Diceros bicornis minor: one gene and its partners. The protein of the gene in region 1 purifies or fractionates together with the protein of each later gene. This does not show direct contact. Links are inferred from orthologs where the notes say so. Each region holds a gene or a part of one and is shown in the gene's direction. Other genes may lie near its edges.

Evidence for each region.
Region 2: the proteins of MED4 (region 1) and ARHGEF7 purify together in Homo sapiens (affinity purification with mass spectrometry; 3 studies listed by BioGRID and IntAct, with this or other methods). This does not show direct contact. The link is inferred for Diceros bicornis minor from reciprocal best matches to the Homo sapiens genes MED4 and ARHGEF7.
Region 3: the proteins of MED4 (region 1) and POLR2B purify together in Homo sapiens (affinity purification with mass spectrometry; 3 studies listed by BioGRID and IntAct, with this or other methods). This does not show direct contact. The link is inferred for Diceros bicornis minor from reciprocal best matches to the Homo sapiens genes MED4 and POLR2B.
Region 4: the proteins of MED4 (region 1) and GIT1 purify together in Homo sapiens (affinity purification with mass spectrometry; 3 studies listed by BioGRID and IntAct, with this or other methods). This does not show direct contact. The link is inferred for Diceros bicornis minor from reciprocal best matches to the Homo sapiens genes MED4 and GIT1.

The regions. Positions count from the first base shown.
Region 1 is NC_080748.1:28,976,088-28,983,260, forward strand, and holds the start of MED4 (mediator of RNA polymerase II transcription subunit 4), read left to right. Parts: upstream 1-4,171; 5' UTR 4,172-4,191; coding exon 4,192-4,316; intron 4,317-7,173. UniProt on the Homo sapiens protein: Component of the Mediator complex, a coactivator involved in the regulated transcription of nearly all RNA polymerase II-dependent genes.
Region 2 is NC_080748.1:85,189,730-85,197,512, forward strand, and holds the start of ARHGEF7 (rho guanine nucleotide exchange factor 7), read left to right. Parts: upstream 1-4,774; 5' UTR 4,775-4,816; coding exon 4,817-4,981; intron 4,982-7,783. UniProt on the Homo sapiens protein: Acts as a RAC1 guanine nucleotide exchange factor (GEF) and can induce membrane ruffling. Functions in cell migration, attachment and cell spreading. Promotes targeting of RAC1 to focal adhesions. May function as a positive regulator of apoptosis.
Region 3 is NC_080747.1:44,466,679-44,474,389, forward strand, and holds the start of POLR2B (DNA-directed RNA polymerase II subunit RPB2), read left to right. Parts: upstream 1-4,706; 5' UTR 4,707-4,954; coding exon 4,955-4,973; intron 4,974-7,711. Other genes in the region: NOA1 (nitric oxide-associated protein 1), read right to left, coding at 520-722, 1,961-2,125, 3,055-4,177. UniProt on the Homo sapiens protein: Catalytic core component of RNA polymerase II (Pol II), a DNA-dependent RNA polymerase which synthesizes mRNA precursors and many functional non-coding RNAs using the four ribonucleoside triphosphates as substrates.
Region 4 is NC_080757.1:18,089,562-18,096,552, forward strand, and holds the start of GIT1 (ARF GTPase-activating protein GIT1), read left to right. Parts: upstream 1-3,973; 5' UTR 3,974-4,179; coding exon 4,180-4,231; intron 4,232-6,991. UniProt on the Homo sapiens protein: GTPase-activating protein for ADP ribosylation factor family members, including ARF1.

The DNA.
Region 1 (7,173 bases):
TGGATGGCTTAAACAACAGACATTTATTTTCTCACAGTTCTGGAGTTCAAGATCAAAGTGTTAGTTTGGTTTCCCCTGAGGCTTGTCTCCTTGGCTTACAGATGGCCACCTTCTTGCTGTGTCCTCACATGGTCTCTTCTCTGTGCACATGCATCCCTCATCTCTCAGTGTGTTCAAATTTCCTCTTCTTATAAGAATATCAGTCAGATTGGATTAGGGCCCACCCTAATGGCTTCGTTTTAACTTACTCATCTCTTTTAAGGCCCTACCTCCAAGTAGAGTCACACTCTGAGGTATTGGGGGTTAGGTCCTCAACATATGAATTTTGAGGGTGTACAATTTAGCCTATAACACCCTCTATCTGTGCAACGCATCCCAGATAATTATCGCAACACACCACTTTATTTGCACACGTTTGCTTTAATTTTCTGCCCCCTGAATGCAAAAGGTATACAGACTCTCCCTTCAGGGCACTTCAGGTAGAACATGTTTTTCTACTCCTTACTTTCCAACGCTTGCAAACTTTTTCGATCCACAGTAAAAAACATATTTAATCTTTGACCCAGTACACACATACATAAATATGTAACTGAAAAATGTTTCCACAAAGCAGTGCAATGTAATTTGATGCTTTAGAAATTTTCTGCTCTATTCCAATTTTTAAAAATCTCTACAGAGATATCTGTAAGGCATCTCAAACAAATAATAATTACATAGTTACGTGTAAATAATAGTGTAGTAATGTAAGCACTGATGATAGATTTAAAAAAAATTGGATTCTAGCTACATGTAAGAGAGAGAAAATTCTCCATTATAATAGGAAAGCAATAAATTTCTCAAAGGGTTTAATAGAGACATAGAATATATGCATATTATTTAAAAATATGGAAGCAACGCATAGAAGAAACAGTTAAAAATGTTGAGAGTGGTTGCCGCTAGGGAGAGAGGAATGTGACAGGATGTGGGGGTTGGGGAGGTAGTGACTGAGAACTTTTTTTGTTTTTGTTAGCTTTTGAGCACTATTTGACTTTTAAACATTGCTTGATAAAAATAAAAAATAATAATAAAAAAACCACACATAGTGTATACGGCCACCTATTCTGCTGACTCTTAGGGACCGGCCTGGCTGGGTTTCTCGCTGCATGCTCACACCGCCACACGAAAGGTTTGCAGCTGCTTTTTACTCAGAGTTTCAAACTGTGCGTTCGACAGAGCTTGTATTTTAGACTAGCCCTAAGTAACCCTTTTTCAGTACATGAAGGCACCTCTTTCTTTAAAAAGGGAGGCAAGACAACCAGCAGCTAAGAGCACAGACCTTGGAGTCAGACTCTGGGTTCAGATCTCAGCTTTGCCTCTCACCAGCTGTATGACCTTGGGCAAGTCTCTGAATTTCTCTGCCTCCTAACTTCATTATCTGTAACATAGCGATAATAACGGTATATGCCTCTGGGACTCTTATGAGAATTAAAGGAGTTTTCATTTTTTTAAAGAACAGTACCTGGCAGGTTAAATACATAAAATTTCATAGGAAAGTAGCACTTACCCTTTTTGAGTCTGTAGATTGAGAAAATACTTTACACGCAAAGTTACCATGAATTCAATTATTATAATAACTATAAGATATATAAAATATTCATATTCAATTTTAATATATATATTATAAAATAACTCATATTTTGTTTATCACACCTGGATCTGCACAATTTGTGAAAGAGTATATCTGTGGGTAATGCTATTACTTATCAGTCTATAGACAATGTTCAACATGCATAAGAATTTGCAATAAATCTGAGGAGGTCTGGAGTTCACAGCACACATACACTGTCCATCCATTGACTCTCAATGTCTGTAAAGTAGGACTGATAATTGGTCATTTTAAATTGATTAGAATCCTCCCAGAATATTTACGTGGAAGCTACACTAATATAGTTAGTGTTACTGAACTTCTCCCTTCCCCCCCGAGAATTATGGCCCAAGATGAACCTGTGAGAGTTGAGTAAACAAAACCCACAGAGAGTGTAAGAGTTTAGTCCCTTGGAAACTTAACATAAGAGATTACAGACTAGAGCTACTGGGATGCATGCTTAGAATGCAACTGTAATTGAGAAAACATACATCTAATTTATTCCACTGCCTGAGAATTGACTGTATTAATAGAAGGGGTTGGCCAGGAGCAGAAGTGGGGGGTGGTTGGAAAATAAAAGGTGTCTGGTGCCTTTGCACTGTCTAGAGGAGAAGGCACCCTGACCTATGAACACAAATATTCCAATCTCTTTAACACAAATGTCCCTACACTATGGAGATGCAAATCCTGATGATTGTATTAATTGATTTTTTGTCTATCTTCATTTGTTCTGATCCAAGTTTACCAAATGACATTCTGGTGACAATTTGGCTTCTTGTGTAGGTTTGTCTATGAGTAAAATTGTGCTTCGCACTACTACTTTTCATTGTAAGTGAATAAATCAGCATTCTGGATTATATACAGCAGTTGCTATGAATGAATTTATTTAGCATGAGTCCCCGAGGGAATCTTCAACTCTACGTGCCCAGCAGAAGGACAGACCAGAGGACAGGATGCTGGAATAAGGGGATCACAAGTACGCCTGCCTCCTTCCCAGCTGTTGTCTGTAGGCGACAACTCTTCAACTCATTTTTTACAGCCCAACTTGGACCAACATAGAACTCGCCATTTCCAATACTGTTGTAACTTTGGGTTTTCCTGTAGACTGCAAGTCCCCTACTACATTGTTCTCCTCAGGAAAAGTGGGCTAAGGTACATTTTTGGCTTTGACATCCAGTTCTGATTTGGAATATGTGCTACAACAATTTAATTAACTACCACTTACATAGTAAATTGATTCCTTCAATTCAACAGTCGTGTGGAGCATTGAGCAACACATTTTGTTGGGAGTTATGGGATTATAAAGATGGATTATGAAAATGAGGAAGCAACCCAAGTGCCCATCAACAGATGAATGGATAAGCAAAATGTGGTCTACACAAACAAAGGAATATTATTCAGCCTTAAAAAGGAAAGAAATTCTGACACATGGTAAAACATGGGTGAGCCTTGAAGGCATTATGCTAAGTGAAATAAGCCAGTCACAAAAAGACAAGTGCTGTATGATTCCATTTTTATGAGGTACCTAGAGCAGTCAAAACCATACAGACAGAAAGCAGAATGGTGGTTACCAGGGGCTGGGGGAGGCAGGAATGGGGAGTTGTTTAATGGTACAGTTTCAATTTTGCAAGATGAAAAGAGTTACGGAGATAGTGATGGTAGCACAACAATATGAATGTACTTAATGTCACTGAACTATACACTTAAGCATGGTTAACAAGGTACGTTTTTATGTTATGTGTACTTTACCACAATAAAGAAAAACTGAAGATAAAAAAAGATGGATGGGGTGGCCCCACGGCTTAGCGGTTAAGCGCACGCGCTCCACTACTGGCGGCCCGGGGTTCAGATCCCGGGCGCGCACTGACGCACCTCTTCTCCGGCCATACTGAGGCCGCATCCCACATGCAGCAACTAGAAGGATGTGCAACTATGACGTACAACTATCTACTGGGGCTTTGGGGGAAAAAAAAAAGGAGGAGGATTGGCAATAGATGTTAGCTCAGAGCCGGTCTTCCTCAGCAAAAAGAGGAGGATTAGCATGGATGTTAGCTCAGGGCTGATCTTCCTCCCAAAAAAAAAAAAAAAATTTGGATCATGGTTCTGGTCCTAAGGTGCTTACTGCGTTCAAGAGATGCCAAACAGGAGGGTGGGAATAGCGTTAACGGGAATGCAGACTAAAGAGAGGTTAATACTGAGAAGACCCCGGCCCATTTCACGAAGAACTGACACAAGAGGTGGGCCATTATGTAATTCCCTCGAATGTTTAAAATCCGTCGAGCAGAAGCCTCCCATACCTGCTTGAAGACGCGAAGTCGCTGGAAAACCTGACCGCAGGTGCGTCTCCACGTTGTGGGCTTGGCTCTCGCTCCAGGGTGGGACCCGAGAAAGCCCTCGCTGGCCCAGCAGATGGCGCCCGCGCGCGCAATGCACCTCTGGGCGCGCAGGGGGCGCTCCGGCCGGGCCTCTCTTCCCCCGCCTCGGCGGCCCTTCCTTCCGCCTCCCCAGCCCGCCTGTCGTCGCCAGCGCGCAGCTGCGCAGGCGCCGGCTGCTGGTCCGAGCGAAGAATGGCGGCGTCTTCGAGCGGCGAGAAGGAGAAGGAGCGGCCGGCAGGCGGCTCGGGAGCGGCGGGCGGTAACAGCACGCGAGAGCGGCTGCTGTCTGCGCTGGAGGATCTGGAGGTCTTGTCGAGGTAATGCCGTCGGCCTGAGGGCCTGGCTGGGGCTGGGCCGGGCGGACTGACTCCGGACCGCCGGCCCTGCGTTGCCTCTGGTTGCCGGGGCTCGGCGGGGACGGCCGCGCTCGGGGGACTGTGGCGCTCACTCCAAAGACGGGGCACGAGTGTCTGCAACCCTCTGGGACTCCGAGATGGCATGTTCCCCTTAGAGGACATTTTAATAATGACAGTGACTCTGGAACCCCAAGACTGTCAGAACCGCAGCGGACCTTAGAGGGAGAGCCCCGTGTGAGTCTTTTCGTCCACGACACTCAGCAAACATTTAAGGAACACCCCCGGCTTCCGAGCGCTGGGAGACGGTAGTGAGGGGTAGATGGCGACGTGGAGGAGCCAGTGTCAGGGGAAGAGACTGACGTGTAAACAGTGACTGTGGCGCGGAGACTGTTTTTATCAAGACGTGCACTGCGGGCTCCTGGAGCCCCGGGACTAGGCGCCTGTCCCGGTTGTAGTCAGGGCAGGCTTCCTGGAGGAAGGACCATATGGAAAGAACGAGTTCACCAGACTCACTAGGCTGCAGGTGGCTGGAACAGCATGGGCAAAGGCCTGGAAACATGAGCACGCACGACTTGGTGGTGGAATTGCAATTTTGGGATGGCTGGAGTGCAGCGTGTGTGATAGAGGTAGGAGATGAAGTTGGATGTCATTCTCCTTATTCTGTCATCTTTCATGGTAGTCTGTGGAGTTGCAGCCTTTCCTTAACTCCCTCACCTTCAGTTGGATGTTAAAATTGTTTTGGTTCTTTCTCCTAAAATGTTGCTCAGATTTGGCCTCCCGTTCCCATCTGCATGGTCATGACTACTTCTTAATGCAGCCTCTCAACAGTTTTACTTGCCTTAATCCTTCTGCACTTTATCCTTCTATATTGCCAAGGGCAGAGCTAGGCATCTCTTGTCACTTTTCTGCTTTAAAATATTTGGTAGATTCTCATTACTCAATGAAATGAAGTCCAAACTTTAGCTTAGTGTACAATGAGGCCATTCTCCCTCTTGTCTTAATCCATCCTATTATCCTCATTTGCTGCCACACCCCTCCAGCCTCCTGTACCCTTCACTCCAGCCTGGGTGAATGCTCCCCATTCTAGAGCTAGCCATATTTCCTCGTCTTCAATGCCATTTCACTCCACCTCCAACTTGATGAATCATTCATCCTTCAGTATCCGGCTCAAATGTCACCTATTCTGTACCACATTCTTTGACAGCTTTAGAATAAATCTTATATATGGTATTACCTGACCTTCTGATAAATTTTATCTTGGCTGTGAATTTAGTCCTTGCTATAGCAAGCATTGCTTAACCAGATTACTAGGTTAGCACAATATTCAATGACATAATTAAATCCTAAAAACACACAGACACCAGAACTTAAATAGTTTATGTGTTTAATCCACTGTTTGGATAGTATTAGACTCAAATACTGCCTGACGACAAATAGGGCACGTGGAATTTTCAGCCAGCCAGCAGGCAGTACAGTGAACAAGAAACTCACAGGCAAGCTGTCTTAATGTGTTGCCGCTGTGTAAATGTTTACGCAGATTAATGCAGGTGCTATTTCATTTCCTTCTTTGTCTTTGTTGGCTTTGTAGTTTGTGGTGGACAACTTGTCAGTATCCTCTTTAGTTAATCCTATCTAGTGAATACCAGCATGATTTCTTAGTAAAAAGACGCTAGCAAGACAAGAGTTTTCGTGGTATGAATTTTGCAGTTAAATTATTCACATCTCTGCTCTGTTGACACGACTGTCTTCGGGACAGCTAATTGAAGCTTTGTTTAGTTCAGGTTGAGTTGTTATTCTTTGTTAGCTATTAAACACCAAATTAACCTCTTGTAAATAGTTCACTGCTATTCTAAATAGGACCAACTTTCATTTGAAAAACTCAGTGCATTCAACCTAACCAGTAAAATGTTCCTTATTATTTGTTCATTTGGACCAACCATATGGTGTGGATGCTGGTGATTAATTTTTCTGTAAATATGTGGACTTTGTGAAGAAGTGACACCTCCTTTGGGAAGTAGTGTGTGCTGCCTTTTGTTCTAAGTAGGTCTTAGTCTTAAAATTCCAAATCTTTGCCTTAGTATATTCAATGAATTATTATTTCTCACTTGTCTACTCTGGAGCCCAGTAAATTCTATTCTTTTCTGAGGTCTACTTGCTGTAACATGATTTGTTTGTCTGTTTTGCTGAGTAACCCTTGTATATATTTCATATTCAAGTTCAGGAATTGTTTTTCTGAGTCTACCCATCCAGGGTAACAGTCTTGGAGAATTTCTTCTGACATTGGACAACCCAGTGGTCCATCTTGAGATCTTGCCGCTGGATCGTTTGGCTACTGGTTGTGTCTGAGGTGTGTTTTCCTGATGCTGTTGGTACCTGTAGGAGTCCATATACTTGCTGTTGATGTACTCTTCACTTGAGATAGCATAATTAAGTAATCTATGAGTTACGTTAAATTTGAAACTAAATTGAAATTCTCTTGTACCTAGATTGACCCTGTTTATCCTTCTCCATATTTGATTCTTTCCTTGATTACCGAGTATAGCATTTTCTGTTTGATGAAATGTATTTACCCATAAAGTAATGGTGAATCATTTAAATTTTCCTCAAGAGCCTCAAGATTTCTGAAACTGCTTCAGCTTTCCAGCTGTACACGATCAGTTGAGGTGCTGAGTTCTCTTTTGCTTCCTTTGAAAGAAACTGTAGTTCTTCTGTTACCCTTTCTCCAAGAATGCCAAAATGACTTTGATCTCTCATTATTTGTAGTCCTCCTCACTAAATCTATTGATTCCTTCCTTCCTATATGCGTCCTTCTTGAGGC
Region 2 (7,783 bases), about 56 Mb from region 1:
GGAGGGTCTGGGATGTGATGGTGCTCCCATCTCAGGATTAACATCTTGGTGCGCAGAGCCGGCCCTTAGTCTGTGCAGGGATAGCTCCTCAGGCTGGGCAGCCTGGGCAGAGTGGGGAGGAAGGGAGGTGGGAGGGTTGGAATGGACACCAGCTGGAGACCTGGAGACACTCCTTTCTCTAAAGCAGCTAGAATGCCCCGACGAGGGGCATCAACGTCACTAAGAGGACGTTCTGACAGGCAGTGGCCGGGAGGGGCGCCAAGTGACCAGGTGGAGCTAGCATAGCAGCCATCCAGCCCACAGGGATAGGTGCATTTGGGACGTGGCATGAGCAGGTCCCGAGGCACAGTAAGCTACTGACACAAATGACCCAGTCCTCCAAGTCCCCTGCCCCCGCTGGCTGGACTCCCAACATTCCTCAGCTCACACCTGCGACATCGCGGAACGTTTACTATGACCAGCTGGTAGAGAGAGAACGGGCCTGCTTTACGAATGGGTCTGGTTGATAATTTAGTATGAACCGAAAACGGACTGCTGCCACATGACAGCCCAACTCTGGGGCGGGATAAAGGACCGCGGTGAGGACTGCTGGCAGAGCTTTGAGCCTTTCATGGTCATCTCCTTTGCGCTCAGACGCTTGGACAGGGTGGGTGGCTGGCTCCTCGTCTGGGTGCCCGGAAGGGGCAAGGTGGGACGAGTGGTGGCAAGGAGGTGGGGAGGGGTCTGTGGAGGGACCTGTGGGCGCAGACACAGGCCTGTGGGTCTTGAGCCCCATGTCCATCCCCAGAGAGCATCACTGAGGCAGAGGCGCTCAGCAACCAGGCGCAGAGATGGTGTCTGTAGCCGAGGGCAGCCAGCCTAGGCTTTGCCTGCCACTCCAGTGCCCTGCACAACAGGCCATGGACAGCACAGTCCTGATGGCAGGGATGGAGGTGTCCAAGAGATGGAGGGGAGCAGGAGCTACAGCTACCGACTTCGCTACCCACAGCAGAGAATGATTCTGCCCGCTGATGTGGTAACACCAGCCACTTGGCGGCAAGTCGATCACACCCAAGTCCTGCAGTCCTGGAGGGAGAGGCGATTCCTCTCACTGGATGGATACATGCAGAGGCCAGGGAGGGGGTGACTTCCCGCAGGGTTAGGGACTGTCCTTCAAGACAGCATATACGTTGAACCAGTGGCTGTTATATGGTGTCGTTCCCCTGGTAGCTACAAGGCAGCATCCAGGCAGCAACGGGGAGAAAGAGCATTGGCCCCCTTACCATCTCTCCCAGGGGTCCACGTGGGGGATCTCCTGCTCTCTCGACTTTAGGCTCTGCTGAATTAGAGGTCATTGCCCCTGGAGGAGACCCTCAACCACAGGAGACGGGAGTCAGGGGATAACTCTTAGCCTGTTGGTCCTCCGGTTAGAAGACACTGAGACCTGTTCCTCTTTGCTTCTCCAGGCTCCCTGGGGGAACAGAGCCCCTTCTCCCCCTGGTCTCTGGGGGAATGGGGCGCACTTACACATCTTTGATTCACTTTTTTCCCTCCTCCCCGTTCACTTTCTCCCTTTCTTCGTTTATCCTTCCCGGGATGGCTTCCAGAATAAACTACTTGCACCCAAGTTGTTGGCTCAGGATCTGCTTCTGGGGGAACCTAAACTAGGGTAAGTGTCTCAGTGACATTATGTTTCATAATATACTATATTGGTAAAGTGTCTTCCGATCTTGAGTAATTTTTCAGCCATACATGTTTATTAACTATTTTTTTCCTGCCCTGCATCTTTAATTTTTAGCAGTTGACCATATTTATGCCAAATAAATAGGACCCTGATAAAATGAGTGTCTTTGATAACACACAGTAGATACAATGAGCTTCATAGAACTGCTTCTTACAGCATTTTTCAATCTAGATCATAGTCCAGTCAATAAAAGCAATTCTACAGGGAGAGATTGCTACGCACTGCTAGGTAAATAGCCATCTGCCTGCCTGGCTTCAGGTTGGGGTAGATTTCAACGTTTTTGTAACACCATCCCCAAGCACCAATAAGCTGACAAATAGAGTCAGCACAGTTCGGCTGAGCTTTGGGTGACTACTGGTTTGTGGCCGTTTGTGGGTGCACCGCAATGACGACTGGGAGGTGGCTCTCAGGCATTACCAGGCAGCCGAGCTGGGCGTGAAGCTGAGGTCCTCTCGTGAGATGTCAGGGAACTGAAGGGCACATGCTCTTCAGAGGTGGGTCAAAGGGCATCCACAGGCAGGGCCCAAGTCTTCCGCCAACAACAATCCTAACTGGCTCCAACCAACAGAACAACGAGTTCTCCTCTGTAGCACACGTCCTCTGTAATAGGAACTTGGAAAAATGTTAAGTGTAACCAAATGCCCACCTTGGATGCTAAAACAGCTCAGTTAAACACCAAAAAACACCTAGTTTTGAACAACGTTACTTTCTAGAATCCCTTACAAATAAACTTTTCTGAAATTAATCTACATCCGAGGTAAAAGAATGCCACTAATAGCTCTGAAGCATTTAAACGCCCAGGGACTTCTGAGACCAGTTCTGGCAGGTGGCCCGTGGGTCTCCCTTCTGACAGTAATTGGCGCCAGGTTCACTGGTGACCTAAGGCCACGCCCCAGAGTTGCCTTTCTGTACCACCATTTGATTGAGTCAAGTTGAATCTTACCCTTGTTTACCAGATTACAAGCACCAGATCTAACGTAATGGAATCTGAAATGACTGTACTCTAAATTACGTCTCCAAATGAGCAGTACTAAGAGTAAACAGGCATCTCTCAAGAGTGGAGAACTACTCAGGTCAACACCCTTCCACTGATAGAGTCTTTCGGCACAAAATTTGATGGAGCTGTTAATTGCCGTTTCCTAAAAGTCGTGTAGGGAAGTGGTCTAGAAAACATGTGCGGTGTGTGGGTCCTGGAGGCTCAGAGCCCAGGTTTGAGGCCATCTCCACCACTCGTTGGATGTGTGACCAGTAAAATGGGGACAATGAGAGAAACTCCACAAGGCTGTAGTAACGATGGTGTGACATAATGTGGGGGGGGGGTGGCGGGGGAGCACTGGGCAGAGACACAGGGAGCTCAGGAAGTGGCGGCTGTGACCACCGAGTAGGGGGCCCTCAAAATCCAGAATTCATACTGCTCTTTGAATTACTTTGTGTTTGCATTTGGAAAGAAAATTTAACGCTAACTCCAAGCTGGAAATAAATGCAATAACGATTGCAATGGAAGTACTCCGGAAGAAGGCAGAGGAAGAGGAGAGTTAAGCCTCTGTTTTTAAAAGTCTTTCTAGCCTTTGTCACTAACTGGGTTGCTATATGTGTCTGGCACACAGTAAGCTCTCTGTAGGTGACCGTTAATACCGTCTGAAGCTGCCATGGGCAGTCCTAGCAAGCAAGTGGGGAAGGCACTCCTGGACTGTGGATGGAGTAAATGGAAATACATGGACACCTTCACACCTGCTTCTTTCAAGAAGAGGCTCTTCTCCTTCGTTAGCCTTTACATGTGTCAATGTCATTCGTTGTTTGAAGAAGCAAGTTCCTTAAGTGACAGTTGGAGGGCTGAGTTCTTCAGGTTTGGCCCGAGTGCCTTCAAAGCCTTGTCTGCAACAGAGCATCTCTTGTCCAAGTGGGATCTGGCCAAACGGCCTGTTTGGACTGAGCTGTTCTCAGTCCTTGTTTCCCTATCATCTGCACAGACCCAGGTCAGCCTCTGCTCTTTTCTTGACCTTCCTCCCATAGTGTTAGAAACGTCACCAGCAACTTAAAACAGAGTCGCTCCAAGGTTTCTGGTCCTGGAGAGGGGCCAGCCGCGTCCCTGCCGCTGAGGTCACAGGCCTCCCAGCAGGGGGCACGCATGACACCGGCCGCACCGCGCTCTGGGGCCTCCATATCCCCAAGGATCGCAGCAGCGCCCAGAAAATCAATTCTTCCCTGAATTAGACCCATCTGGTTACAGATTTAATTATCATTTGTGTTCTGTAATTATTGGCTTGCAAGGTAGGGGGAGAGAAGCAAACATCTCGTTTTCAGCAACCCCCCAACCTCTTGAAATGAAACTGGCAAAAATAAAAAGAGCATTCTGGGAAGCATTTAATAATTTAAACATTCATGAATTGAGACTATAAATAAAGGGTTCCGAGTCCTCCGAGAGGGGAGAGGACAGCGGAAGGGAGAGGACAGCGAAAGGAGCCTGGCCGGGCTCTCGCCTCCGGAGGGGGCTGCGCGTGGGCTCCGCGGGGCGCAAACGGTTAAGAGCGCACGCGCCCCGCGGGTTGGGAGGCCCGGCCAGCCCTCCCCGGCCCGCGGGCTGTCGCCTTCTGGAGGTCACCGGGCCCTTGGGGCGGGGGCCCACAGCCGGCCTCGCAGGTGGGGGCGCGCGCACGGCGGGGGCGCATGGCGCGGGGCCCGGGTGTGGAGGGCGCACGGCGGGGGCGCACGGCGGCCGCCCGAGCGCGGGGGTGCTGGCGGCCGGGGGGCCCGGCGCGGGGCCGCTCAGCGCGGCGTCTTTTCTTCTCCTGGCAGTGATGTCATCGGCGGCAGCGGCTGGGAGCCGGGAGGCGGCGGCGGGGGCGGCGCCGGGCGGCCGCCGCAGGTTCATGTGCATGTAATGAAAAGGCACTTGACAGTCGGCCAGGACGCACGCGAGGGAGCGCGAGCCGGCCGGACCGCGGCGCCGCCCGAGCCAATCGCCGTCGCCGGCCTCTCCATGGGCGAGCAGGAGGAGGGGGCGGGGGGCGCAGCGGGCCTGGCCGCGGCCGCTCCGAGGTGAACGGCGCCGAGACCGGCTCGCGGCGCGGGGAGGCCGGGCGCGCCGCCGCTATGAATTCCGCCGAGCAGACCGTTACGTGGCTCATTACCTTGGGGGTGCTGGAGTCGCCCAAGAAAACCATCTCGGACCCGGAGGGCTTCCTGCAGGCGTCTCTGAAGGATGGGGTGGTCCTCTGCAGGCTGCTGGAGCGCCTGCTGCCCGGGACCATCGAGAAAGTGAGTGCCCCCCGCCCCGAGCCCCCACGGCGGACAGGCCCGCACGGCGGACAGGCCCAGGGCAGCGGGAGCCCTGGCGGGGGGAGGCCCGGGGCGCGCGGAGACGCGCGGGCGCGGGGTTGCTGGCGCTCGCACCTGGTGGCTGCGCGGGCCGGGGAGCGCGGGGCGCCGAGGAGCCCACGCGCCTCCTTTGTGCGCGGACCCGGGAGCGCGGGCCGCGCGGGGGGCGCGCCAGCGGCGCGAGAACCCGGTGGCGGGAGCTCGGGGCGCCATTGTGTGCGGTGCCGGCTGGGGAGGGGGCCGGGGCCGCGTTCAAGAGGAGCGCCCCCCGGGAGGTCCGGAGGGAAGGGGAGCGCTCTGCTCTGCCCCGCCCGAAGGTGGAGTCGTCCCTCTCGGTGACCCCAGCAGAAAACCGTGCTCCAGCACTGCGCACAGCTCGTCCGAGGGCTTTGTTTGAACAGCTTTTGTTGCTGGTATTGTATGAGAGTTTCACCCTCTGTTTAATTGACCAATTGCTATGCATTTTTTAAAGCTGCATTCATCGATAGCTGAGGGCTGGGTTGTGAAACGATTTTCCGCCCTCTCCACGAAAGAATTCTTCCCGTCTGCGCGCCAGAGGATGGCAGACACGGGGTTGGAAAGCCCTGGCATTCTTCAAGGCTGGCTTAAAATCCTAGATTTCATTTTCAGGTTCATACCTGAATTTGAGCGGAACCCCTAGTCCTACAGACTCTGCTCCTCTTCTTCATGACGGGCAGTTTCCGGGGCTGGAGTGTGAACCTTGACCCGCATCTCCGTGAGTGACTAAAGTTTGCGTTCCTCTCCACGGCTGACGAAGCAGTGCAGGGGACGGAACGCTTTTAAAAACGGTGTATGCCTGTATGTCAAAAACACTGCAATCTTGTCCCATTTTTTTTTTTTGCCAATACATAATCTTAAGATCAACAATTACTTACAAGGTGTTAAATGGAGAAATTGAAGTACACTAATTAGGAAAAACTATTTCATTTTTTAAATGGAGTTGTCTTGACCCCTACGCACAATAACAATTTGCTAATAATGCTAATTAGGTGACTTGAAAAAGTAAAATGTTTAATCTTATTCATAAGTTTGTGCATGTTCTGGAGCTACATTTTAAAGGTCAGAAAAGATTCTATTTAATATGAATTTTACATGCATACTAGTTTTAAGTATTTTCCTTACGTGAAACATATTTATGAGAATAGAATCTGCATTTTAGAGTGAATAGCTGCCTGCCTGTCCAGGAAATAAAATTGTTGGTGTAAATGAACCTGATGTCACAATAAAATTATGATTTAGGACAGGAATAAGGAGCAGGATCTGACTTTCAAGGTACTCAAAATACTTTGTTGTCATCTGGATATCAGGTATCCTCTGATAATAAAAGACAGATGCTGAAAAGCGTTGAAAATGCATGCTAAGTTTACCAAAATAGGCTTATATAAAATACTCGTCCATTTCCAAGAGGGAAGCTTTAAGAAACTTCATGTGCCGTCTGGATAAAAACATGTTGCTCTCAGTGCATACGTTACTTGGTATATTAACTGCATTCATATTGATTGGCAGACTTCAAAAATCATTTTCTTTTGCATTCTAGAAAGATTTTCTTAGAAAACTGTAGCATTCCTTTCATCTCTAAAACAACATAGAGAGGAATGAATAAAATGTTTAGCTTGAGGAAGCCAAATTGAAACAACCCAGCATATTCTGAAAGCTGGTCAGTTGGAGATTTTTACATTGTGACCGTCTCGTTAGTCCCCCCAGGCCCCGCTGGTCTGCTTTAGACGGACACAATCACAGTGCAAGTTTAACAGCAAAGTAGCAAATTATAGACAGAGCTACTTATTCTCTGTGGTTCAAAGGTAGATTTTTGGAGTAAAATATTAGCCAATCTCTGCCTCTAAAACCCTGGGTTTCAGAAGTTTTGTGAGCTTTTCCATTTCCTGAGAACAGTTATTTATTTGAGCTTTATGATATTTGAACGCACACAAATAATATATGTGACAAAGCATGCAGGCTGAACAGCTGTAACTCGCATGTGGGAATGTTCGTCTGAGGATGTTTTTCCTTAAAAAGGAACATTTGGAAACTTAACTGAATATTCATCTGGAATTGAGGATCTTGACTTTACCCCAGTTTGCTACATGAACACATGACGACTGGCAAACACAGCTGCAACTTCACATTTGCAAATTCACAGTTTAAGATGAACCATTACACTAGGGATAGTGCAGAATTAGGAAAAGGTTAGTGGTGGCTCAGGTTCCCAGATGCCTTTTATTAAGAAAACATTCCTAATATGTTTCTTGCGTTGTGTTCATTTGTTCTGTTTTAGAGCCAGTAGAGGGTGGAGAGCTGAGAGGACATTCATTTCCGTTCAGATTGTTCTCATTTTAAAGAGGTTTTCTGCCCAGGACCTCCTTTGTGCGGTCTGCCTTTCTGTAGGCGGAAGGTGAGGCAGGGACAAGAGGGGATTATGAACTCTGTGTGAGCAGTTTGGAAGAGAGACACTTTTTTTTTTTTTTACTGGCCAGTGAGGCACTGTCTTTTTTTTTTCTTTTTGGGGAAGGTTGGCCCTGCGCTAACATCTGTTGCCAATCTTCCTCTTTTTCTTTTTTCTCCCCAAAGCCCCAGTACATAGTTGTGTATCATAGTTGTAGAGTTGTAGCTCTTCTGTATGGGACGCTGCCTCAACATGGCTTGATGAGCGGGGAGTAGGTCCGCACCCAGGATCCGAACCAGCGCGACCCCCTGGCCGCTGAAGTGGAACACACGAACTTA
Region 3 (7,711 bases), on another chromosome or scaffold:
GTTTCAAAGTCTGGCAAGGGATGTAGGCATTACATTTGTTCCATACAGCTCTGAGAAACAATGGGTACAAGTTACAGGGAGACTGCTCAACACAAAGAGCAGGTCAAAGACCAAATGGGTTACCTTAGGAGGTAAGGTGACTCTGCTCAGCTGATGGTGAGTCACTCCTTACTCAGTTCAAGCTGGATGCCTTCTTGATGGATACGTTATAGAGGGAATTCAAGTATGGAATAGGTGGCTGGACTACAGTGATATTTATGATTTCTTCCAACCTCAAAATCTAGGATTCTGTAAATGTCTCCCTAACTAAGATAACAACCACAATGATATAAATGGGTTGTTAGCAGTGAAGCCTACCAAATGGAACACAGAACTTGATGCCATATAGATTCATCCCTGAACTGCTTCTATGAATGAATGAGAACTGAGTCTAAAATGTGTTCCTTTCCTGTGTTCTGCCAATTAAGACAGTACTTGTGCAGTTGAAAGTAAGTGTTTCTTAAGATATCAAATACATACACAATTTTCTTTTGTAATTCCAGGGGTGTCATGAAACCAGTGGGCATCTTTCACATCTTCTGGGGTCAACTGTACTCGTTTGGTGGATTTATCTGCCACAACAGGTTCATTTCCCATGTCAAAGGCAAGTGAATCAGCATCAAACTCAAAGGGAGCTTCATCCTTCCGTTCTTCTGAATACAAGAATGTTCTTCCAACTCTTCCTAGAACAAGTTAGATTGAAGTTATTAGTCATTCTTTTAAAGCTTTTGATTCCAGACAGGTAATTCTTATGTTTGCCTCAAACAAATTACTAAGACTAACTGTAGTGTATGGAAGTGAGACTACAATGATACCTTTGCTTTTTTCCCCAAAGGCAGGGGGCCAGAATCTTGCAATGATCAAGTGAGTGGCTGGTTGTGTACACTGGGTGGGGGGAGAGGGTGTTGGAAATCAAACTGTTTTCAGTAAAGGAAGGTTGAAAAGAGATACCAAGGAATGGGTGACAATCTACAGTCATGTGCTGCATAATGTCATCTTGCTCAACGATGCCCCCTTTTTTTGTATTTTCTTGTGAGCCTAAGTATCACATATTTATCATTTCCTTTTCATTTTTCTTAAGCAAGTTCACAAACGTTTTTTATCCATTTTTTTAACTTCTCTAGTCTTTATCTTTTTTAATCAGATTTCAAATCCTTAAATCTTACTAGAATTTTGTACTTCTTGGCTTCCTTTTCTATCTTCTCTAGTCTATTTAGGAACTCTTCATCTCTAGAAGCCAGAGGACTCATAACTTTTTCTCATTTTTTGCTGAGTATTTGGGGGAAATAACGAAACTGAAGACCAGAATTTAGAAAGGGGTTCTTCCAGCTCTTTACCTGCTCCTGGAATGGGTGACAATCTACAGTCATGTGCTGCATAACGTCGGCATAATGTCTTCTTGCTCAACGATGCACCACATACATGACGGTGGTCTCACAAGATTAGCACTATATAGTGTAGGTGTGTAGTAGACTATATCATCTAGGTTTGTGTAAGTACACTCTGTGATGTTCGGACAATGACAAAATGGCCTGATGACACATTTCCCAGAACATCTCTCTGTGGTTAAGTGACGCATGACTGTAATTTAAAGCTGCTGCACGGAGTCAACGACCTGCACTGGTCTGCAGAGAGGGGGGCTGTATCTTTTTTCTTCTACTGCTGACAATGGCTGGGTGGGTGGTTATTGCATGTTTCCTTTCCTGGATTTCTTCAAGATCTACTGTCTCAATTTTCTCAGCACAATGAACTCTGGATTCCCAAACAGTAGTCTTGCCTCTAAAGGGCCTCTATGTTCCAGAATGAGGAAAGCAGTCACTCCCCACAAAAACTGGCTAGCCCCAGACAGCTATATTTCAGGTTGCTCAACAAAGAATTTTAGCAACAACTCAACAAGAGTTTTCCTATAGAACATGCTTACCTACTACATAGCCATGCTTTTTCAAGAGATTAAGTTGATTTTGTTCTTGCTGACTAAGATCTTCTTCAGCTTCAGCTGCATCTTTTTTAAGCCTTTTTTGCCTTTTAAACATTCTGTAAGGAGTTGGATTGCAAATAGGAAACTTCAGAAGGTTTAATGTAGTACCTGAAATACCAAAGAATAAATATGTTTTCTAAACACTGTACAAGAAAAAGGAATAAGAGGAGGAAAACTAACATCTTTGAGGAGCTACAATGTCTTGGGGACTGTGATTTATTTCACTTAACCTTCATAACACTCTACAAAATTATTCTTATTTACAGATGAGAAAATTGGCTCAGAGATTGGCTCAAAGTCTCAACCAGGATTTGAATCCTTAGATTAAATCCCAGGATTTAAATCTGCAGGCCTGATTTCTTTCCATTTTCACATCCTACCATCCAGTATAAAAGCACTTCTGTGTATAATTCAACCAAAGTCCAGGACAGAGAAGAACAGCTTATCAAAGTTAAACCCTGGTTTCAAAAGAACTAATGAGGCAGTTTTGCCAACTGTTAAATACAAAGAGGGTCACAGAAGAACCCATTTTGCAATCACAGAAGTTTCATAAAGCCACAAAGTTGACATTTCTTTCCAACAAAGCTACACATCACATTGCATTAGTGAATTATTCAAATGTTAAACGTGCATAGTATACTGATCTCATGAATCAACTCAAGACATGAAGAGTAAGATTGAGGGGTGAGGGAGGTTTAGAAAGTAAAAGGACTTTCCAGAGAAACATACAAAGAAGTAAAGCTACAAGAGAAACCTCCAAGAGAGCAGGAACTTTGTTCCTCTGTTCATCTACAGTGCCTAGAACAGTGACTGGAACATACAAGTGCTCCATAAATACTTCTTTTAGAAAATTACTGAATTTCCAAGCACTAAGCTGACACAGAAGAGAGGTGTGACCAAAGTAGGAAGACAGTTTTTAAAGGGAAGGCTCCAGACAGCCTCTGGTGGACAATAAGGAAGGCTATACTAGGTGCCTGGGCCACGACCAGACTTCTAGCTTCTCAGACAACGAAGGGGGTGGGTCTCCTAAGGCTCACCAGGCCAAGGGGAGATGGTGGCTCTGTCGATAGCCTCAGCGCCCTTGGCGATGCAGTAATCGGACTCCAGGAGCGTGTTGAAGAGAGTAGACTTGCCAGCGTTGGTGGCGCCAACCAGGTAGACGTCACCACGGTAGCGCCAGGAGCGCTGAAGCGCGGAGATCAACTCTTCAATTCCATAGCCAGTCTTGGCGCTGATGAGCCGCACATCCCTGAGCACCGTGCGGCACCTGGCCGAAGGGTTCGAATTCTCCTCGTCTTGTGGCCCTCGGTGGCCAGGGAGCGGCAGGAGCCCTGCGCGGGCACAGTCGTCCCACAGCCGCTGCCGGAGCCGCTGCCGGTAGCCGGGAGCGTCCTGGGGCAGCAGGTCTACCTTGTTCCCCAGAACGATCAGCTGCTTGGGGCCCACCAGCGCAGGCAGGTCGGGCAGCAGGGCGTCGGGCAGATCGAGCACGTCCACCATGTAGAGCACCAGCGCGGGCCCGGGCCGCCGCAGCGCGGCGCTCACCAGCGCCAGGTACTGCTCGCAGCTCACCTGCAGGCGCAGGGCGCGCCGGTGGTGCACCAGCAGCCAGCAGCGCTGGCACACGGTCCGCGCCAGCCCGCCGTCGGCCTGCGCCGCCGCGCTCAGGAACTTCTCGCTGGGCAGGTAGCCGGGCACGCCGGGGTCCTGGCAGTGCAGCTCCGCCCCGCAGCCCGAGCAGTTCAGGCCGCTGGGCGGCACCGTCGGGTCCGGGTGCCCCACGACCGGGTGCCCCCGGCGGCTGGCCCGTAGTTTCTGCTGCCGCCGCTCCTCCCGCCGCTGCTGCTTCTGTCGCTCTTCCTCCTCCTGCCGCTCCTGCAGCTCCTGCAGCTGCTTTTCGGGGGTCGGTGCGGGCTCCGGCTCCGGGACGTACTCGGGGAACAGAAAACGCTCCTCCATGTCAGCCCTTCCTTCGTAACCCCCAGTCCCTGTCGGGTCACGAGGAAGCCCACGTCCCAGGCCCGATGGGTGCCGGCAGGAGAAGGGAGCCGCGCATCTCCTCTCGAGGAGCGGCTCCGGGAGGCCATGGCGCGCTACCTTCGGTGCGGATCCCCGCAGGAAGCCGCACAGAAGCCTACCAGTGAGGCGTGCGGGCAGCATGGGGAACACGGCCCAGAGCAAAGGGGCGGAGCCACGTGCGCGCACGCGCACTGGGGCCAGAGGCGCGCGTTAAGACCTACAGGCAAGGCCGCGGCTACCGGAGAGCTGTCATTTGTCAGCCGCCGCACTTCGTCTCCTCCTCCAGCGCCTAATCCCGTGAGTTATCGCGATGAAGGCTCTGAGGCTTCAGAACCCACTTAAAGCTGCGGCAAAGGTACCGACGGCCTAGACTTAGCTGAGGGGGCAAAAAAGGCTAGTGAGTGAGGGTTTGTTCCCTTTTAGGCTTCTTCAACGCGCCGCCGCTGGCGCAACCTGCCCTTAATAAATCGCATTTTTAAAGGCTTCGTGGTTTTTGAAGCCTTTAGAAATGCAAAAAATAGAGCATCGAATGCCGCAAACTCAAGGCTACAATTAAAATTAATAAATCTTCTTGGCCTTTTTTTTAGGTGTCATTTGTGCAACAACATTAAAAAAAACTTTCATTGGCTGGATCGCACCCTCACTCTGTAGGAGTCATCGTCGCAATCAGCCGCAAGAGGCGCCGCCCACAATTTGCGCGTGCGCAATTGTAACCCTTAGCGGCCCTTAGCCTACCATTTGCGCAGGCGCAGATGTTACCTAGCTTCTCTGTGGGCGGTCTTTGGCCTCGGACGCGGAGTATTCTGGGAACGCCGGAGACGGAAGTCACTTCGTTTAGGGCTCCGAGACGGAGTGGTAGCTACGTGCTTTTCTCTCTGTGATTTTTAAGAGTTAGCAGCTCGGGAACCGTTTGCCAACATGTATGACGCGGACGAGGGTAGGTGACCACTCAGAACGCTCCGCGGCGACCCTTCTGTGGAGGGAAATGTGGGGAGCTGGACGAATTGAGGATTTGCGGCCTCCCCCCCCAGCCCGCCGCACGAGTGACCCCAAGTCGTGTTCCCCACATCCCCCAGGCCGGGAGTGAAGCCGCGATGGGGAGAGGTGGAGGGTGCAGGGAATGTAGCATTACTGTTCCCGGTCAGGGTGACGCTTGCTCTCTGCACTGTCAGCTGGATAGATCTGATACCGCCTTCACGTATTGAGATAACGTGCAGAACCATAAAACAGTACCATTGTTTTGGCTTTGTCTGAAGCAAAGGGCTCCCTTCTTGATTTCTTATGAGGCTAGGGTTAGTGGATTTATTGAATATTTGAATTTTTGAGCGTCAGTTTGTGCCAGGCATTGTGCTGGGCTCTGGAAATATACCGGGGACAAAGAATATCGTGTGTGTCGAGAGAGTGTTGGTCTAGTTTGGCATTCCTTCATGCCGTCGTATGTCTAAGTGAATTGTCTTAGAAGATGACCTTTAGATTTTCTCAGATGGTATGTATTCAACTGAAGAGGACCAATATATCTGTTTTTCCTTTCAGGTATAGAAGTCTTAGTCATGTCTAGTGTATTTTCGTTAGGTATTTTTAAACCTCCCTCTTCCATTCTCTACAGCTACTGTATCAAACCTCATTTTCTTCTAGTTCCCAATCCTGTGGCCACCCCTCACATTGCTGCTTATTCCCTTAGCTTCTTCATGGAGAATACAGAAGCAAAAGCTTAAGATCTACAGTTTAAACTTCTCTTTTTCATTTATATCTTGAGTCTAGAAATTTATTAGCATCATTACATTCCCTTTTCTTAACTTCTATCTCAGAAAAAAATTCAAAATTTTTTTAGCAGAGTTTTTTGTGTAGATAGTATATATTCTCATGGCTCACAAGCTGGAAAGTATAAAAATGTTAAAGTGTAAGGTTTCATTCTTGTCCACTGTCTGTCTAGTGTGAGCCCCCTTCACTGTAGGTAACCACTGTTCTTAGATTCTTATCTCTCCAGAGTGCTTTATGTATATTCAAAGAAATATAAATGGAATTCTATTTTCCCCCTTTTTACAGACAAAAAGTAACATTCACACTTTTCTGCACTTTTACTTTTTGCTTTTTTAATATATGTATCTAGGAGATTTTAATATCAGTTCATAGAGCACATCCTAGTTTTTTTTCTTCACAGCCTGCCTAGTTTGTATGGATGTACTATGACGTAGTAATGTCTTACTGATGGATATTTGGGTTATTTCTAGTCTTTTTCTGGTTCAAACAGTGCTGTAATGAATAACCTTGTGCATGTCATTTTGTCCAGTACAAGTATGTCTTTAGGATAAATATGTAGAATTCTACATGTAGCTGTAGAATTGTCAGGTCACATGATATACATGTTTAACATTTTGCTGGATGGTGCCAAGTGACCACCATAGTGATTGTACTAATTTATATTTTCCTTAGCAATATAATAGTCTTGTGGAAAAAGAGTTAAAGTTATCCCATTTGTCAAGTCTGCTCCAGCATTGAGTACATTCCGTTCCTGCCTGTATCCTTTGATATCTTTATTAAATATGTCCTCATCAGTTTTCAGACGTTCCTTTTCACCTGACTTCTTTCTATGCAAAATGTTAGATCTCTCTTGTCCTCAAGAAAACAGGTTAAACTCTCTATTGTTTCCTTTTTCTTCCATTGTTTTGCCTTTCTCCTTTCATTCACAACCAAGCTTTTAAAAAAGAATAGGCTGTCTTCGTTGTTTCCAATTCCTATCTTTCAGGTTCTCAACCTATTACAATCTGATTCTGCTCATGTGATATAAAACAGCTCTTAAGAATATTAGTGATTTCTCAATTGATAAATCACATGGACATTTTTTAAACCTTATACAAACCCTGTGGTATTCAACATTGTTGATGACTTCCTCCTGGAAACTCTCCTTCCTTCTGCCACGTCACTCTCACTTAATTCTTTTTACCTGTCTGACTTTCCTTCTCATTCTCTTCTACTGTTCATGTTATCCCTGGGATAATTTCATCCATTCTTCATGGCTTCAGTTACCATCTGTATGTGGATGACTTCTGAATATATATTGCCAGTTCAGATGTCTTGCGTATCTAACTGCCACTAGATAACTTCGCTTGAATCTCTCCTAGGCCTCTCAAACTTGTCGCTGCCCAAACTGAGCTCACTATTTTCCTTTACCCATCACCCTTCCAAAGCTGCTTCCTCCTGTGTTCTCCCTCTCAGTGAATGGTATCACCCTCTTCCATTGTTGAAGCCAGAAGCCTGGGCATCATTCTTGAATCCTCTCTTTCGCCCCTACGTCTAATGAGTCACCAAGCCCTGAGGCTTCTGTCTCCTAAATATGTCAAATCTGGTCACTTCTCTGCCACAATTCTAGTTCAGGCCACCACCATCTCTTGCCTAGATTACTTCCTCAGACTTGTAACTGGTTTGTGTACTTCCACTTTTCTTGCCTCTCCAGTCCACTCTCCACACTGGCCATAGTGATCTTTCGGAAATGAAAATCTGATCTAGCCACACCCTTGCGAAAATCTTAGAATGGTTACTCAAAGCTCTGTTGGTAAAGACCAAACTCTTTTACCACTCTAACTTTACACTCCTTGTCTCAGCTACATTGGCCTTCTTTCGTTCCCTGAATATCTTTCATGGTGGAGTCTTTCGCACAAGTTGTTTTTTCTGTTG
Region 4 (6,991 bases), on another chromosome or scaffold:
CCGGGGCCGCGGGGCGGGGGGCCGGGGCTGCCTGCTCGCAGGGCTGCGGCTCGGGCATGTGCGAGCGGCGCCGGCGGGCGGGGGCGGCGCGCCCGGCGCGGTGCGGGCGGCGCGGGCCGCGGGCGTCCTCGCGAGGCGGCGGCGGCGGGCGGCGCGGAGAGGCCCCCACCCGCCCGGAGAGGGAGCGGACACTCGGCGGCGCGGCGCGGCGCGGACTCGCGCCTCGCCTCTCACACCCCCACACACAAAGACGCCGCTCGGCGGAGGGAGCAGACGCCCGCAGCGGGCGCGGGGGCGCACGGGGCGCGGCCCCCGGGGACGCCGCCGCAGGGACGCGCGCCCGCAGCTCCCTGCTCCCCGCAGCTGCATAGCCCGGCCCTCAGCCCGAGCGGCCGGCGAGGGATGAGAGGATGCGGAGGAGAGGGGAGGGGGACGCGGGTGCCCCGGGCAGAGCTTGTTATAGCTCGGCCCCGCGGCATCATGGGGCTTGTAGTCCGCTTCTTGGAACTGGGGGCGGGGGTGGCCGGAGAGGGTCCCGCACTGTCCACCGGATCCCATGAGAGGGTTGGGAGGGAGTCAAGCCTGGCCAAAACAGAGGCAGTGTCCTGACGCCAGGTGGGCTGGGGCGCACCCCCACCCGCTGGCCTTTTGCCTTTTGCTGGGGAGGGAGGTGGCTACAGGCCTTGCTCAAGCTTTAGGGGACGCGGGAAGGTGTGGCCTTGGCCTTCAGATTGAGTTTGGGTCCCAGTGGAACGTGAGGAGGGATCTAGATTCCAAGAAAAGAGTAACTGATGGGGGGAGTCCTGAGAAAGGTACGGGGCATTAGTACCAAGGGTTATTTGAGCAACCGAGGGTCTGGCACCTGAAATATTACGTAGGAGTCTTCCCTGCCCTCTTATACAATTAAGCTCCATCTTCCACATTTGACATTGGAAAGAGATTGTCCACTAAGGCTGAGAGGACAGCCCCTCCCCACCCCGTACGCTGTCCTCTGCAAGCCAGAGAGGGGCTGGGCAGAAAAAGCAGCAGGTGGCAGCTCCCCGACTCCTCCCTATGTGGTCCTCTCAGGAGAGGAAGTGACTGATTCCAGAGACTGTCTCCTTCCTGGATAACCGCAGGGCAGAGAGGGTCTTCCCGAAGGGTCCCTGTAGACGCTGTGGTTAAAAGTGGAATTGGCTCTGGGGCCGCCTATTGCAAGGGCTGGAAGGACCTAGAGGCTTGGCCCAGTCCCTGGAGGGAAAAGGGACTGGGATGTTAGAGAGGCCTGAGTTCGCATTCCTCCTTACTAACTGCCTGACCTTAAGCAAATTGCTTAAATTTTCTGGTTCCTCAGACCACTCACCTCTAAAATGCAACTCTAAATACTACCTCCTGGGGTGAGCTAAGGATAGTAACTGCCCTGGAAACGGCGCATCCCTCCTGGAACCAGGCGGACTGAGACAGGTGGCGGGACCAGGCACAGTGCCTTCTTGAGCCCACCTTAGAATAAGACAGGAATAAGGGATTCCATACCAGCCCTACTTAGAACAATCCAAGAACTGTTTGTGTGGGAGGTGCTACCAAAAGCTTGCAAACTCTCCGCGCCTCCCTCAGGTTTCTTTGTATGGTCGTCTCTCCCTCCACCTCCATGCTCTGTGGTGCCAGGCCCGGGCGGGAAAGGATGAGGGAGGAGTGGACTGCCTCACCCCTTTCTCCAGGCTGGGAGGAGCCTACTGGCGTCTCGGGCCGCTGGGGACCGCCGCCCACCTCTACCACGAGGGGTCAGCAGAGTGTCGTGGGTGCAGCCGGAGTTGGGGAGAGGGCTGGAGCGGGGGAGGGACGGCTAGGAGTGGCCGGGAGAATGCCTGTACATTTCCTCATTAAATTGGTTTTAGAACCTTGTGTGTGATTTCTCTTTAAGTGTCCTTCTTCCTGAGGTGGCGACGTCTCCAAAGGGAAATCTTGAAACGCTTTTATCCCTAGCCCCAGGCCCAGAAGAAGCTCAGCTGTGGCGGGGCTGGGGATTTGGGGAACAAAGTTATGAGAGTGGATCCTTGTCTGGGCCACACCCAGGTGGTCCCTGGGCCAACCAGGAGAGCTGGCGGAGGTCCGGGATACCGGATGAATCATCGTTCTTCCCCTGAAAAGTCTTGGAGTTCAAGGAGGGGGGAAGCTCAGCCTGAATTGGGGGACAGGCTGCTGGGCTCTCTTTTTGCCAGGCGGCCCTAGACTCTAAACCAGGTCGCTTTTCCTCCGGCCTGCGCGCTCCAGCTGCCACGTGCTCGAGACGCGCCCACACAGCAGAGAAACAAAGACAGCCAAGCGATGGGACTGCCAGCAGCCGCCTCGACATTTAATAAATGAAATTCCATAGCGGGGGGTCGAGCGGGGGTGAACCGGCGGCCACCGCTTCTGGGCAGTACGCCCGGTAAGGGCGGCCAGGACGCTCCTCTCGTCGCTCGGGATGGGGCCAGCAAGCCCATGGACTGACTCCTCGGTGCGGGTGCAGCACGCGGCGGCAGGTGGTATTCCCCCCGCCCCCCTCCTCGAGAGGTATCTTTTCTTGCAGAAGCCCTGCCAGTTGAGCGGCTAGCTGTGGGGGGAGGGGAGGCCTGCAAGAAGACTTTTTTTTAAAGGGGCGATTATAAATATACCCCGTGGATCGCGATCTGAAACAAACTTGTCAATCTGGGCTGCAGTGAAAGGCGATGGAGGCAGCTTTGCATGTATTTCGGGTGGTGTGACTCATGAGCATTACTTGTCTCCTCCAGGGAAGCAGCCTGCCCACCCACAAGTCACTGCTGCTCTGGCACCGCTGGGATAAAATCGACCAACTCAGGAACCTCTGCCCAAGGACTCCCCTCCTCCCACTTTGTTACTGAACAGGACTCCCTGCTGCTTGGGAACCCTCCCTTAATCGTGTCACCACTGACCTGGCCCCCAGGCCTGGTCCTGGGCACCCCTGTCCTCTCCCCACAAGCAGAGTGCTCTAGCCTTTTGCTGCTGCAGGGATGGGGGCTGGGTGCACGCGGGGCACACGTGTATAGGGGAGCATGCTCAGTGCAGGGGTGCACCCACGTGCGGCCTGCGCCTCCGCTCCCTGTCCCCCCCACCTCTGCCGAGTCTCCGTGTGAAGTCCAGGAAGAAAGGCCACCACAAAAAAAGGTCCCTGTGTACTATGTGCACGCACCCTGGACACACACCTCTGGTGGCCCAGAAACAACGTGGGTGTGTTTAAGAAGAATGCCAAGTGGATATTACTGCACATAGGCACAGTGGTCATTCCTCGGGAGGGAGGCCTTTAAAAACTGCCCAGATCCTTTCCTCTCTGGATGGACGCATGAAGGAAGGATAGATGTATTTTTAGCCCGGAGGCAGGGGGATACACTGCATGACCTCTCTGGCATTTGGGCGTCCATATTGTTGGTAGTGTGCTTAATCAGCAAGGGTGTGACCGCACACACACCTGGACACTCAGATGTGGACACATGGGGCACGAGGACGCACATCTCACCCCAACCAAAGATAGGCGGGTAACCCAAACCATAGCCCCTTGCCGAGGAGGGGGGCCTGGGCCTCCAGCTCCTTGTTCTCTTCCCTGATTCCGAGGGGTCACTGACCCTGGGCCCGAGCCCCGTGGGCCACTCTCCATCTCGAAAGTGAAGGGGATGGGGCTGTGAGGGTGACTCACGCCGCCTCCAGGCCAGGGGAGCGCCGGAGCGGAGGCCAGGGCCGCAGGCGACGCTGCCCGCTCGGGCCTGGCGGCCGCGGCCGCGGCCCCTTTAAGCGCCCCCGCCCCTCCGCCCGCGCTCCCGGCTTCCTTTCTCCGGGAGGCGCGGCCGGCGGGGCCCGGCGGAGGGGCGGGTGTGCAGGCTGCCCCTCCCCCGGTGGGCAGGGCCTGCGCCGCTTCCTGCGGGAGCGGCCGCGAGCCGCGCAGGGGGCGGAGAGAGCGAGCGGCGAGCGGCGAGCGGCGGCGGGGCGGCGCGGGGCGGCGCGGGGCGGAGGGCGCCCGAGGGCGAGCGGGCAGGCGGGCACGGCGGGTCCCGGGCCAGTCCCGGGGGCGGACGGTTGGCCGGGCGCGCGGAGCCTCGCCGGGGCCGAGGCGGGCCGGGCAGCAGGGGCCGCCGCCGCCCGGGCCCGCCGCCCGCGCCCGCGCCCCCCACGCTGGCCCAGAGGGCTGCGGCCGCGTCGCCGCTGAGGATGTCCCGGAAGGGGCCGCGAGCGGAGGTGTGTGCGGACTGCAGCGCCCCGGGTAAGCGGGCCGGGCCGGGGGCGGGACCGCGCACCGAGGCCGCCGCCGGGCGGGCGCCGGGGCCTGGCGGGAGCGCCGTGCGGGGCCGGAGGGCGGGGCGGGCCTGGGGGCTGCGGCCTCCGGCCTCAGCCCCCGCCCGAGCCACTGCGGAGCCGCGTCCTTGGCGGGAGGGCCGGCCTGGGGGGGGCCCTTGTTTCCTCGCGTCCGTGGACGAGCGAAGAAGGACATTCCCGGCGCCGCCTCCCACCCTTCAGTCTGAGGAAGGCGGGCAGCTAGTTGCCCCCCCTCCTATCTCCGTATCCAAACGGAAGCGCCAGCCTGGGGGGGGCGGGAGGGCTGTGGCGGAGGCCGGCAGGGTTTAGGAGGTGGGGGCGAGTGTGGTTTTGTGTCATCTCAGTGCCGCCCCCGCGTCTTGCACCTGCTGCTCGCATGGTCTGCGCGCCCGCTGGGGTGGCGGAGGGCAAGGGGCAGAGAGCTGGGTGGATGGGCCAGGGGGGCCTGGCTACTGTTTCCTCGGGAGCAGATGAGAGGGTGGCTACTCCTAGGACTCCCTGCCCCTGGTTCCCAAGGCTGGGGCTCCTTGCAGGGCCTGGTGTTCAGGGCCAGTATGAGCCTGGGCATCTTCCCCTGAGGCATCCCCAGGCCGCCTGGTGTCTGGCAGCAACTAGACTCGGCTTTTTCTGTGCCCTAGTAAGGCCTGCTTGGGAAGGTGGGCTTGCATTGCCCCAGCCTGGGCACAGACCCCTCCCGGTCCCCTAGCCCAGTCTGGCCAGAAATGGGTAGGGAGCAGTGCTGAGGGGTGCCTAGATTCCCGGGATCCAGCTGGCTTCCTGGCCTGCCTCCTGGCTGTATTTACAGTGGTGTTTCCCTTCTCCTTCACAGCAGAGTCAGGTCCAGGCTGATGTGAAACTCCCCTGACCTGCTGAGGAAGTGAGGTGCAGTGACCTGAAAGGCTGCTCCCTTCTAATGTGGGGGGACACTGCCAGTGATGGGGCTCAGCAGCTGGCCTGGGGAAGGAAGCCCTGGCCCCTGTCCATCCTGTCTTTAGAAAAGGAGCCATCTCTGTGGGAGACATCTGGGCAGGCTCAGGGGGTCTCTGAATTCCAGGGGGACTGTGGGCACAATTAAGTGTGCGAGTGTGGGGTGCTGTTTTATGGGCCCATAACTTCCAGCTACCCTTTGCACAGGCCCAGGACCCCAACAGGTTAAGACCCACAGACACTCTGGTGGTTCTGATGGCTCCAAGCTAGAGTGTTTGGGCACTGTGGATGCCTGGCAGAGGCCTGGTCCTCTGTGGGTGGTTATGACCCCGAGGCCTCCTCTCAGGGCATGTCATGGTCTAAAGGGTTCTGAAGAAGCTATCTGGGGGATATGTGTTCTTACCCCTAATTAGCTGGAAACTATGATCCCCTTCTCCCAACCACAGGAAAGTCTGGGGTTGGCAGGGCTGAGAGGAGAGCTTGCCCTCTACATGTCTGTCCCAGGATGTTCTGCACCTCTGCTGGGTGGGCATAGCACTGAGCGGGCAAGAAGGGCTGGGAGGGGGGTGCTTAGCAGTCACCCTATCAGGGGAGCCTGGATTTTAGTGTTACCTGTGTTTCCAGCTCACTCTGTGACCCGTGGCAAGACTTGCCTCATTCTGGGCTTTAGTTTCCTCAACTGTGAGGCAAAGAAGTTGGAGTAGAAATGGTTTTGAGGACCATCCCATCTCCAAGTCTGTTGTCCTGATTCTGGGCCAGAGGGACATAGGGCAGCATCAGCAAGGGTATCTTTTCTCCATTGCATTTAACTGTTTGGCTGAAGCCTCTGGATGCCCACTGGGCTCCGGGAGGAGTGGTGTGTATCTGTGTTGAACTGCCCAGCTCCTATCCCCAGTCCTCATCCCACAGGCATCTGTGCCCTGGCTACCTCCTTTTCCCCTTGTCCAGAATACAGGTCAGGAAGAGGCAGGTGAGGTGGGCAGGGTGCTGACAAAGTCTTACTCATTACTCCCCCACCCCCCAGCACCTAGCATGGTATCTGGCACATAGCAGCCACTCCCCAAGCATTTGGATGCTTGTCAGGGCCCCAGCTGGCTACTTGGGGCTACCCCCCACCCCCACTCTATGATGCTTGGAGTGGCATTCTCAGTCTGGGAACTGCAGCAGCCCAGGTAAGAGGCTTGAGAGTAACAGCAGTCTGGAGCCCAGACCCAGAGCACCCACCCCACTAGCCTCCCTGCTGAGTGTCTGCCTCCCACCCAGAGTTGTAGGCTTCTCTCACTCTGACAGGAACCCTACATTCCCAGCCCTAGGAGTGAGGTCGTAGCCTTTTTGTGGTTGGTTAATTTGGGGGGTCATGGAGGTAAAATGTGAGATGCAGCCTGAGCCCAAAGGGCCCCGTCATCCCTCTGCTTCGAGGCCTGGGCACACAGGGGACAAGTGTGAGTATGTTATGAGGCAGCTGGACATGGCATGGCTCCCATGGCAGCCAGTGCTACCTCTCAGGCACCATCTGTGTCCCTGCCTGCCTTAGGAGTCCCAAGAGAGGAGCAGGGGTCAGGGAACCCTGGAGAATGTGTGTTCTCCCTTCCTTCTCCTCCACTCCCCTGCCACACAGTCCTGGCCCAGCTCTCATGCTATGGGCCTCCAACTCAACGCTTCTACTTTGGCAGCCCCAGGGACAGGAGTGAAGACCTCAAGATGCCCATCCTAAGGGCATCTTAGATGAGCAGGGCTGGACACCGGCTAGGGACATTTGGGAACCTGCAGGTTCATTTGT